3 linked regions of the Rattus norvegicus genome follow. Each later gene encodes a partner of the first gene's protein in a complex. Links are inferred from orthologs where the notes say so. Each region holds a gene or a part of one and is shown in the gene's direction. Other genes may lie near its edges.

Region 1 (3,940 bases):
AATGCAGGTCTGTCCTGCTGCACTGTGCAGATTAGGGGATGCCAAGGACTCCTCTGTGGTTTAATGGCTCTAGAGAGCCTAGAGAGGACCTGCAGGAGGGCCCTTTGAGGAACTGGGCCTATTTTGCCTTTCAAGAGCTTTCAGGAGCCCAGGGTGTGGCCCCTTCCACTGCCCCACAGTAATGAGCCACAGAGACCCCTGAACCAGGCACAGGTCACAAGTGGTCCAGGTGAACACCTGTCTGCTTCTTCCTGAAGGTGGCGTTGTGAAAGGGGATGAGATCATGGCCATCAACGGCAAGATCGTGACGGACTACACCCTGGCTGAGGCTGAGGCTGCCCTGCAGAAGGCCTGGAATCAGGGCGGGGTGAGAGCGAGCCCCTCTTTTCCCTCACCACCTGCCTCAGACCCTGGTCTTACAATGGCATGGCCAAGTCCAGGGCTGGTACCCAAGGTCCAGACAGTGGATTGGACCTGAAAAGCTGGAGATGGGGGGAAAAAAACCTCCAAGGTCTTCTCTTAAGTGTGTGTGTGCTAAGGAAGAATCAAAAGGGTACTGGGGGCTGCTAGAGAGTGAACAGCCCAGAGGGCAGATGCAAGCGTGGATGTAGCCTGCTCCATGCTTAGCAGATACCCACACGGACCAGGGCTCCCACATGGAGTCTCTCGGGATGTGCACTGCACAGTCTGAAGGGGGTGCCCTCCTACAGACTGTAATGTAGATGCTACCCACTCGCGCTGTGCAGTGCACAACCTGTGCCACTGTGTGCAGGCAGCTGAGCCTGAGGTATTAAGTTCAGTGCCGAGGAAGCTGACCAGATGGGCCTGGGACCCACATGACAGGATGTGGAGAAGAGAAGACCAACGGGTAACACGATGATCGTCTTTGGTGATCTGAATGGCTGGATTAGGACAGAGGGAGCGGCTGTGTTCTGTGCTCCTTCAGTGGATGGAGGGAGGTTACAGGGCGGGGAGAGTTCAGCTCAATCTTAGGAGCTTTGGCATGGGGTTGGGGATTGGTGCTCTTTCAAAATTTGCCAGCCAAAGCCAGGGTGGACAGTGATGGGCAAGCCAACAACGGTGGAGATGCCATCGAGGGGACTGTCAAGATCAGAGAGGCCAAGCGAGCCCGTGTTTGCTATGGCTCAGGGGTAGGGGTGCTGCTTGTCAGTGGTACTCGAGACTATAAGGGGTACGGCTGTGAGTTCGTAAATGATCCTCAAGTGGCTGCCCCAGCCCTGGTCTATAGATCCACAATTGGGAGCTTGGTAACGTCTGAGGGTCTAGCAGGGCCGCTTCCAGGGGGAGCGCTTTCCTAGAGTGTGGGTCTCCATAAGGGAGCCCTAGCCCTCACTGTGCCCTAGCTAGCCCTGGGCTACGATGCCCAGGAGTGAAACAGAACACCAGGCAGATCCATCACATGCTTCTCCGTGTGTCCTATGCGGTCACACGGTTTCTCCCTACAGGACTGGATAGACCTTGTGGTTGCCGTCTGTCCCCCCAAGGAATACGATGATGAACTGTAAGTGTGAACAGGCACCTGCCCTTGCACCCCATTCCCTCCCAGGATCCTAGCCACCTTTCTTCAGTCTCACCCAGTGAAAGGGGTATCCTGGTCACACATCTGCTGGTAGTCATGGGGCCAAGAACACCCTGGGCTAGAGATACCCTGGACCAGAGTCATGGGCCTGAGTAGTGTTGGCTCACAGTCATTGGCCCATCCTCAGCTGCCTAGAGTGGCTCATTCCATATAGCTTGAGAATTCTATAGTGTCTATAGCAGAACCAGGGCCTAGGCAGTACTGAAGAGACAGACACTCAGTGCAGGGTGAGAGCCTGCCGAGCCTCCCCCAGCAGTAACTGGGCCCTCCCTCTTGTCTCCTGCTCCACCCTGCATGTGTAGCTCCTCTCTTCCCTCCTCTGCAGCCGAAAGCCCCCAGCCGGTCCGAAAGCAGCTTGAAGCCTATGAGCCCGTGTGTAGACACGGGTTTTTCCTGCAGCTGGAGCCCACGGTGACTAGGCAGGCAGCCTCGGGGCCCTGTCTGCCCACGCTGTGTGTCATGTGCTGCCCATGACCCTGGCAGGTTCTTTGGACTGGTGTCTAGAGGAAGACAGAGGCGGCCTGCAGGAATGCCTCTCTTGGGGCTGCTGTCAATGGCTGAGACTCTAGAGCTTATGGGGGTACACAAAGACCAGCTGGGGGCACTGGCTTAGGACCTGAGAGTCCTGATGCCCACGGGTCCTGGGACCCGCTTTGGGTCACACTCAGAACCTGGTTGGAGCAGGGCAGCACTGAGAACAACAGTGTCTCCCCACTGCTGGACAAGGCTGAAGAACACTAAAGCCTCCTGAATCTCCTCACAGGGACCTATTTCCCACCAGAACCCCTGCAGGATCCCCACGCCCTGCTCAGGCAGAGCCATGCCATTCAACCTCCTCAAGCTGGTCCAAAGAACCAGGGTTGGCGGGCTCCCCTGCTCAGCCCTCATTCTCCTTGGTCTCCATCCCGCCTTGATCTGGGCTCCCTCTGCTGTGCCAGGGAGCCAAGTTTTGGAGTGCTTCCCTATCTGTGTCTTGGGTTTGGTGGCTGTGACACTGGAGTTGATTGTGGCCCAATGACCACAACCAGCATAGCTCCAAACATGGCTGCTTTCTTTCTGTCACAATTTTTCCAAACTATTGGTCATGATCATGCTTCATGAACCACAACAGTGGACCTGGCTACCATGGCCCTCAATGTCTGCTCTGTCGCTGCTTGCTCTTCTTAACAAGCGATTCCTGCCTTTCCTGCTGCTCCCGTCCCCCTTCCTATACCGACACCCCTTTGTCTTCCTCCCTGACTTCCTGGGTGCTGTGGCTGGTGTGTTTCTACTCAGGGCTGAACTGAGAGGGAGCCCCTGAAGGCTGGAAGGGCTTTGTGCTGCTACGGTGGGGCCAGCCATGAACAGAGGGCCATATACACGTCCTGTCTACCCCATCTGTTTCCTCCTCTCCACAGAACCTTCTTTTAAAGTCCAGAGACAGAAGCCAGCCAGACCCATCCTGGAAGCTGGCAAGCTCGGCACCCAGCCCCTGAAGTCAGCCTGAGAGACACCAGTCACCAGGTGTAGAAAATCTCCCTGGAAACTGTCCCCCGAAGCCCTGTGACCTGGCCCCTCCTCTGAAAGCCAGCAAAAGGTGGAGCAAGGACCAACTGCTGTTCTGGAGTGGTCTGTGGGATTCCACTCCCATTTCTTCCAGCTCTAAGTTGGCCGTACCTGCTCTAGAATATTCCTTTCTTGAGACCTAAGGGCGCCCAGGTCCTGCACCTCCCTATTGCACTCCCTCCTACTGTAATCCCTGCTGGAAACCTGATGGTGAACTCACTAATAAATACACTGACTCCGTCTCCAGCCTCTGAGGACGAATGTGTGTGGATAGCAGTTAAGTGGAAAACCGGAAGGTTGTGGCCCCACAGCTGTGATCTAAACATGCTACACAGAGGACCGATACCCAGGGTTGGCTCAGAGCTCAGGAGGTAGCAGGACCCAAGCTGGGTTTCAGGGTGTCGCTGGCAGAGAGGAGAGACATGAAGGTGTGTAGCAGGGTTTGGCCCTATTCTCTCAAAGGGGCACCTGGAGGCGTAGAGTGGCCCAGCTGTTATCGGAAACTATGCTGTGTTTCCTGAGGTTCCCAGGATGGGGGAGGAGGATAAGGTGCACCCCTGCACAGAATATAACCCAGCAGAACCTTAGGGAAGAGAAAAGAGGGTATCAGTAGAGACAAGACAGGACCTCTCGGATAGTCCCTGGAGAGAGTTGTTATCCCAAATCAAACCCAAAATACGCAGCACTGATCAGATTCTTGTCTGCGAGAATCAGAAAGATCCTGATAGATGGCGTGTATAAAGTAGGGCTTAGGGCAGATCCCAGGCGACAGCCGAAGCTGGAAGTCCAAGGGGA
Region 2 (4,254 bases), about 78 Mb from region 1:
AACCCTAGTTTCCTACTGTTCTATAAAACACTACAAGTTCAATTTGGCAATTCCTTAAAGCTAAATAGAAATTACAACAAAACCCAGAAATTCCACACCTTGCTATATGCCCAAGAGATGTAAAAATATATGTTTACACAGGAACATCTATGTGACTGTTCTTAATAACATTTTTCATCATTAACTTAATGGACACAACCTAAACATCCAACCAGTATGAGAATTAAATGATAAAGGGTATTTGATATGCTAGTATAGAAGAATATTATTCAACAATTTAAAAAATCCTTCAAAACATATTCCTTTTAAATAAAGGCCACAAAACTATGTCACAGGATTCCAGTGACATAAAGTGCTCACAATTGCAGCTATATAGAGAGAAAATTGATTCATGGTTTCCTAGGGTTGGGAGTAGGAATTAGTTGCTAACAAACACAAAGGATATCTTTTAAAAGTTCTGTTGTTACATTTATTCATTTTTCTATGTGGTATGGGAGAGTCTGAGTTGGAGTGGGTTGAGGAATGGTTTTAGTGTGGAGAAAACATTGCAAAACTGAGTTTACAAGAGGGCAATTGGCATGTGTTTGAATTTACCAGTCTGACAAAACTAGAATTTAATAAACTCATTGACAAAAAAAGACCACCTACATGAAATAGTGCTGTACATGAATGGGATCTGTTGAAGCTGTCCACAGCAATCTCCACCATGCAAATGAGGGTAGCCTTGATTGGCTGATATTTGATTTCCAGAGGATACTGGGTTCACATGGTATAGCCTGTGGTTATACTTGGTTTAGATTGGCCTTCCTTATTTATATCATTCTACACTGGAAAGTGGTGAAGCTTTCTAGACCAAACTTTTTTATTTTTTTATTTTTTTTTGTGGGAGTTCCTGGAGAACCACCTGTTTGTCTTCCAGCCTGCCATCAGCCTTCTGTCCTCCACTGTTATGGTAAAGATTTCACAGCTGTGAATTTACCCAGATCTTTGATTTTATATTTCAAATGGTTAAATTCAACTTGTACAGACTATACCTGTAAAAATCTACTAAAACACTCCTTCTCCCATACCAGTGAACTTAACCAGTTTTGAGTTTTTTGATTATTTCCCATATTCTGTACCTAGGTGGTCAGTATCACATCTGACACTTGTTAATGGGCACAGTAAAGATTAAATGTGCTTCATCACATGCATGAGAGACACCAGAGGCCTCAATGTTCATTGTTATGGTTGGTCTTAAAAGTAAAGGTCCAAGTCCAGGACTGTAGGCCTTCTGGATGCCTTCCAAGAAGCGAGGGTGAAGTGAGCTTTGGCCTGGAGTAATACTCCCTGTCACTGATTAACCAGCCCCGTTGGAAGACTTGTGTGACCAGCACTGCCTAGACAAAGACACCTGGACAAGCTCTGGTGGGCAGAAAAATGTCTACCCGCTATCACCAAGCAGCAAGTGACAGCTACCTGGAACTTCTGAAGGAGGCCACTAAGCGTGATCTAAATCTCTCAGATGAGGATGGCATGACACCCACTCTCCTGGCAGCCTACCACGGCAACCTTGAGGCCCTAGAAATAATCTGCAGTAGAGGGTGAGTGATCCCTGTTAGGGCATCCTGGGTGGGGAATGCCACTCTGGCAGTGAGAGACAGAGATGTCCACATAGACATTTTGCTTCTTTGTAGGTCCTCTAAGTAGTTGGCTTTTAGAGAAAGAAAGACTAAGCTAGGTATGGTTTCTTTCCCTGTGAAACAGCCATTTAGAAGTCACTCAGGCAGAGGTGGGTAGGGTGTGGATTGTAACTATATGCCCTGAAAATCACCTCCATTGAATTTAAATGGTTAACTCTTTAAAAGGAGGTCACCATGCTTATTGGTTCAGTGATCTTCCTTGGTTAGGACATGGCTTTATTTTACTTTTCCAATCTTGTCACTAAAATCTATCTTTACAAGTACTCAGCCTTGATGTAAACTCCTGGTTCTTCTGGCTTTGCCATCTATAACATGAGTCTTCAGTCCATCTTTACACACACACACACACACACACACACACACACACACACACCCCATCCCTTAGCTTTAGATTCCAGTCTTTGCTAACTCTTTTATTCTGCTCACCCTGCTCATTGCCAGAGAGCTAGTCAGGGTAGGCAGTTACACTTAGATGGAGAGAAATGGAGCAAAAGAGGAGTTTGGGTGAGTGAGAAGAGTGGGGGGAAGAGGGAGAGGTAAAGAGTAAGGGAGTCAAATGACTCCAGTACAGTGCATATTTAGCATCTGGTAGGTGACAGTCCACCTCTCCCCCTTCTCTCCCCTTCTTCTGCTTTCTCTTTCTTCCACTCCCTCCTCTTCTGATTTTTCTTCTCATATATTTTTGGTGCTGTCCAGATGGTCCCTATCAACAAAACATCCTGGTGCTCTTGTGGCACTCAGATCTGAGAGGGGAAGCCAAGCAAGCAGCTTATGGTAGATGTGACAAAGTCTGTTCCAGGGAAGGGAAATTAAGCTAGTAGAGAAAGACGGGGAGCTGATCAAGGCTGAGGGAAGTGCTTTCCCCCTAAGGCAGAGAGCACTGTGCATTCCAAGGGTAGAAGACGTTGAGTTTGGCTGGACATGACTTGCACAGGAACAGACCTAAGCCATAAGACTGGACTATCAGGGGCCTTGAGACTTCTGTTCAGGACTTGAATCTCCTCCTGAGAGCCTAGAAACCACACCCTCTATTTACAGAGGAAGCAGTCACATAGATTTATGCTTATGAATATCGTTCTGGCGATTGTACATTAGTCACAGAGAATGTCTAGGGACGTTCAAGGTAAAAGTGAACTAACATGGTATCACTGGGTGTGAGTAGACACGGAGCTTTGAGTGACAGTTTGGATGTCAGATAGTGATTGGATGTGGCAAGTAAAGGAGGAGGAGGGTCAACATCTGTTTGGATTAAACAGATTGTAGATATGGACACCTCATTGAGTTGGGGAACATGTCAGAAAGAGCACGCCTACTCTCTATACCAAATCTTCTGAAACTTTATTCAAGATAGGTCTTTCTTCTTTTGAGTTAATGTCTCAATTTTGTTATAGCAATTAAATACATAACACACTTAATTTAATTTATAAGGATACCTTAATATTATAATCAGCAAATTTATTTCTTAGTTTATCCCCCTGTTTGATACATAATTCTTTTTTTCTAGTTTGCAGTGTTGTGGTGATTATTCCTCCACATAAGTCCTTGTCCATATTTTTTTCCCCGAGTGTAAATTCTCAGAACTGAAGTTTTTGGGTCAGTTGCCTGCACTTGTGCTATGATCACAAAATGCCTCGGGCAAAGTAATTTACAGAGGATAAAACTTATTCTATAGTTTTAAGAGCAGCCAGGAAGTCTAAGATCAAGTTGGCAAGAAGTTCAGTGCAGGGAGAGATCTTTCCATGCTGGCTCCTTATTGCTGCCACATCTGGGGTGAGGGGGACAGGGACGGAGCCCTCACATAGTAGGAGAGAGAAGATGCACGCGAACAAAATTCTGGAAAAGCAAGTTCCTTTCTTTGACAAGGAACCCCTTTACATGGTGAAGGCGGGGTTCCTGGTGAGGATGAAAACGCCAATGCTGAGCTGCCATGCACTTTCGTCTTTGTGAGCTGCGTGTCTGTAACATTGCCCCACTTTTATATGTCTATATAAAAGTGTGTGTGTCTGTGTCTATGTGTGTGTGTATGTGTCTGTGTGTGTCTGTGTGTGTGTGTAAGTATGTCTATGTGTGTATATATGTGTATGTGTGTATGTGTAAGTATGTCTATGTGTGTGTAAGTATGCCTATGTGTGTGTGTGTGTATGTGTGTATGTATGTGTCTGTGTGTGTATGTGTGTGTGTGTAAGTATGTCTATGTGTGTGTAAGTATGCCTATGTGTGTGTGTGTGTATGTGTGTATGTGTAAGTATGTCTATGTGTGTGTGTAAGTATGTCAATGTGTGTGTGTATGTCTATGTCTGTGTGTGTGTGTCTGTGTGTGTGTGTGTGTGTATGTATGTGTCTGTGTGTGTATGTGTGTATGTGTGTGTGTCTGTGTGTGTATGTGTCTGTGTGTGTATGTGTGTGTGTGTAAGTATGTCTATGTGTGTGTAAGTATGCCTATGTGTGTGTATGTCTATGTCTATGTGTGTATATATGTGTCTGTGTGTGTATGTGTGTGTGTAAGTATGTCTATGTGTGTGTGTAAGTATGTCAATGTGTGTGTGTATGTCTATGTCTATGTGTGTATATA
Region 3 (3,580 bases), about 56 Mb from region 1:
TGTTCTGGCCCTGCCAGCTACAGGGCCCGGCCTAACAGTTAAGACACAACTCCTCTCTGCCCATCAGGACCTGGAGCGAGGGCGGAGGGAGATGGTGGAAGAGGATGTCGATGCTGCCCTGCCCCTGCCTGACGAGGATGAGGAGGACCTTTCTGAGTACAAATTCGCCAAATTTGCTGCCACCTACTTCCAGGGCACAACCACACACTCCTACACCCGGAGGCCCCTCAAGCAGCCACTGCTCTACCACGATGATGAGGGTGACCAGCTGGTGAGGACACCTGCGGCTGGATCATGGCTCACAGGGCCAGGATGGGGTGGTGGATGCCACACTTGTCAAGTCAAGGCTGGGCTTTGGCCTGGCACCCAACCTGGGGTCAGCACATTTGTGGTGGCTGTCTATCTCTCCAGCCTCCTCTCCAAGGCTCTCTCTATGGCATGAACCACTTCCTCCGTGCTCCCCGGCTCTCTAACATGTGTACTCCACCCTCAGGCGGCACTGGCTGTCTGGATCACCATCCTCCGGTTCATGGGGGACCTCCCAGAGCCCAAGTACCACACAGCCATGAGCGATGGCAGTGAGAAGATCCCTGTGATGACTAAGATCTATGAGACCCTGGGCAAGAAGACATACAAGAGGGAGCTGCAGGCCCTGCAGGGCGAGGGCGAGGTGAGGCCACAGGGCCCCAACTGACAACTGTCTTGGGCTAGTGGGGATGATGTCAGCATGCAGCCTCAGGTAACCAGCAGAAAGCATCCTGTGGTCTAGCTCTCTCCACCTCATCCCCGCCCCAGTCCCCTACCATTCTCTGTCTACTTGGGATAATGTGTGATCATTTGCCAACTGTAAAATTCTCACCATAACTGAGGGGCCACACTGCAGACCAGACAGACTTTGCCATGGGAGACACCTCCAGAGACGCCTCACTGGGAGGCCTCAGACATTAACTATGATTTTCCGAGTCTCAGCAGAGTTGAGGATAGAGGGTGACCTCGTGGCCTTCACCTTGTGAGCATCTGTGTGGAATTCTCACACACAAACACACACACACACACACACACACACACACACACACACACACACCCCACACCACACCACGCCATAGCCCCTCTGTCTAGAGGTCTCATCCCTGTGACTATTTCACAGGCCCAGCTCTCTGAGGGGCAGAAGAAGACCAGTGTGAAACACAAGTTGGTACACTTGACACTGAAGAAGAAGTCCAAACTCACAGAAGAGGTAAGGGCTTCCTTAGGCAGCCAAGTTGCAGCACAGCTGAGCTGAGGGCCCTGGGAATAGGAGTAGGAGGAGAAGCAGATGATGCTTCTCTCTTCTGCACAGCACAGCATTGGAGCAACCACCAGACAGAAGTGTATAGAAGCACCTGGGGGAGGGGCTTCCCAGGGTGGGGCCAAGCACACACGTGAAAAGGAGGGCACTTCTGGCTGATGCATACACCATGAATTTCAACCCAGGACCTCTCAGCCTGGGAGCAGACTTCTCTGTAGTCTTTCTGAGTATTGGCACCACCACCCATCAGTCCATCTCTCAGCGTCTGAGACTGCCAAGGCCTTGTACACAGGGCTGTGTAGGCTGGGGGGGGGGGGCTGGAACAGACAGGCATGGGTTCAGATGCTATGAGACCCTCGCGTGGCCCTTTCTGTCTATGATGGAGGATCTCTTGCTGCATTTGAGTGCAATGTGGGGCTGCTTCTGTGGCTGCGTGAGGCCGAAAGAGAGACACACATCTACTGAGAATGGAGGGTGGCCATGCCAGGGCCAGGAGCCTTGCTAATTAGGTGCTTGTGAACCAGGCTGTACTTCGGTGTGAGATGGTGCTCTCACTCAGTCAGGGATGGGACATATCCTGGCTGTAAGGGTTTCCCTTGGGTGGGATTGAGGTACAGAGGGCCACAGAGAACTTACCCACGATGCAGGTGGCACCGAGCTGGTGCTCCCAGCCATGCGATGTGGTTATTAGTCTTTAAGAATGGAGCGATGACAAGCTCGTGGGCCATCCATTTGTCCCTTACTCTCTGCAGTAGCTGGCAGGGACAGCACCCCATCTATGACGCTATCTGCTCCCCGTGAGGAGCCTAGCAGGTGCAGCACCCCAGCCTCGCCTGTGTCCTTGTCCTAGGTGACCAAGAGGCTGCATGATGGGGAGTCCATGGTACAGGGCAACAGCATGCTGGAGGACCGGCCCACCTCAAATCTAGAGAAGCTGCACTTCATCATTGGCAACGGTATCCTGCGACCTGCACTGCGGTCAGTACCCACGGGGCAGTGGGACGCTGGGGCTGGGCTTCTCTAGGCGAGCCTGGGGGTCTCAGGGCAGCTGGCAGCGGCCCCAGCACCTTAGCCACAGTGGAAGCAAAAAGGGCCCGTGTTAGCTCTGTGGCTGGAGGTCATGAGACCCTAACCCGTCTCCTAAGGCATCTCTCTGTGCCTCATCTGGAAAGGTACCCACATGTGAGAGCTGAGGGAAGGCAGAACTGTGAGACAGTGGATGGAGCTAGCAGACTGTAACCTGCAGCTCATGGTTCTCATGGCCCCTCCTGAGCTTTCTGATTTAAACCCACTGCAGCTAGCTCACCCTCGGTGCGGTTGGCCCAGGCTAGCGGCTAGGTTTTTCTATTCCTAGAGACCCTGCTATTGTTTCCATCCCCGGGTCAGGACAAGCCTCTACCGATGGCCTGGGTGTTGGAGACTTGGTGGGAAGACTCTGGAGTCACCTATACAATTAGCCCAGACAGATGCGGGGACCTGGGCTTCTCGGGGAACTGGCTTATGTGACCATAGGTAGAGACTTGGGATGCCAAGAGCTTGTGTTTATATTGGGCGTGTGGGCAAGAGACAAGTTCCATCTTCCCAATGGGGAAACTGAGGCCCAGCATTAGGAAGAGACTTTCCACGGGTTATTTGGACTTCTAGACCACCTACCTATCACTCTCACCTCTCTCCATTGTTCTTCAAGGCCAATTGAGCTACTTGAGCCAGACGCCACCCAGGGCCACCAGAAGGGAGAGATGGCCACAGGTTATCTGTCTGCCACATCCGAAGTAGACTTCAGGAGTCTTGTGCCAGGAGCCCCAGGCCACAGAAGGCTAGAAAGTGGACTCCCTTCTCTGGCTTAGCCACTTCCACCTCTGTTGGTTGAGTGGGGCCAGATGGGAGGGTCCAGCACAGGGTTCCCACTGATCTGTGGCAAATCTGACATCGATGAGCTGTGCTAGCCTCGATTACAGGCCTGATTGTTGTGGGAGGGCTGCTTGTCTGCTTTGGGTGTTTTAAATGACCCTTGTTCTGTGAGATGATTTGGGTCATGGGCAAGATGTGTGAGCATGTGTGATGCATGTGATAAAAAGATGACAACTTTAATTTTATTGGCTCATGAACTCTCCCAATTAAGAAGAAGTTACTGAATTAGACAATCCTGCCTCTTACCTGACACTGTCCTCAGAGAAGAGGAGTACCACATCATTGTGTGTGTGTGTGTGTGTGTGTGTGTGTGTGTGTGTGTGTGTGTGTGTGTGTCTGTCCCCTGGGTGGTTAAGCCCTCTTGGAGCTCCCAAGACCAAG

What was found.
Region 2: Ush1c (region 1) and Anks4b share a complex: the UniProt entries of both Homo sapiens proteins name them as parts of the IMAC/intermicrovillar adhesion complex. The link is inferred for Rattus norvegicus from reciprocal best matches to the Homo sapiens genes USH1C and ANKS4B.
Region 3: the proteins of Ush1c (region 1) and Myo7a are in contact, whole or in part, in a crystal structure (PDB 5MV9), measured with the Homo sapiens proteins. The link is inferred for Rattus norvegicus from reciprocal best matches to the Homo sapiens genes USH1C and MYO7A. Residues at the interface, in NP_001284693.1 of Homo sapiens: Glu450, Pro456, Ile457, Val461, Val462, Ser463, Tyr466, Glu467, Lys479, Gly480, Pro522, Tyr526, Asp527, Asp528, Glu529, Leu530, Thr531, Phe532, Phe533; in NP_000251.3 of Homo sapiens: Phe1946, Val1953, Ala1976, Lys1995, Lys1996, Trp1998, Gln2017, Pro2020, Lys2021, Arg2024, Tyr2026, Ser2112, Ala2113, Phe2114, Phe2115, Glu2116, Val2117, Lys2118, Ile2128, Ser2161, Gly2163, Asn2164, Thr2165, Tyr2166, His2168, Leu2181, Glu2183, Thr2184, Ser2185, Leu2186.

What each region holds. Positions count from the first base shown.
Region 1 is NC_086019.1:105,831,170-105,835,109, reverse strand, and holds the end of Ush1c (harmonin), read left to right. Parts: intron 1-257; coding exon 258-367; intron 368-1,466; coding exon 1,467-1,522; intron 1,523-1,902; coding exon of another isoform or gene 1,903-2,011; intron 2,012-2,997; coding exon 2,998-3,010; coding exon of another isoform or gene 3,011-3,075; 3' UTR 3,076-3,387; downstream 3,388-3,940. UniProt on the Homo sapiens protein: Anchoring/scaffolding protein that is a part of the functional network formed by USH1C, USH1G, CDH23 and MYO7A that mediates mechanotransduction in cochlear hair cells. Required for normal development and maintenance of cochlear hair cell bundles.
Region 2 is NC_086019.1:183,977,404-183,981,657, forward strand, and holds the start of Anks4b (ankyrin repeat and SAM domain-containing protein 4B), read left to right. Parts: upstream 1-1,398; 5' UTR 1,399-1,419; coding exon 1,420-1,583; intron 1,584-4,254. UniProt on the Homo sapiens protein: As part of the intermicrovillar adhesion complex/IMAC plays a role in epithelial brush border differentiation, controlling microvilli organization and length. Plays a role in assembly of the complex.
Region 3 is NC_086019.1:161,776,860-161,780,439, reverse strand, and holds part of Myo7a (unconventional myosin-VIIa), read left to right. Parts: intron 1-67; coding exon 68-271; intron 272-493; coding exon 494-670; intron 671-1,147; coding exon 1,148-1,237; intron 1,238-2,138; coding exon 2,139-2,266; intron 2,267-3,580. UniProt on the Homo sapiens protein: Myosins are actin-based motor molecules with ATPase activity. Unconventional myosins serve in intracellular movements. Their highly divergent tails bind to membranous compartments, which are then moved relative to actin filaments.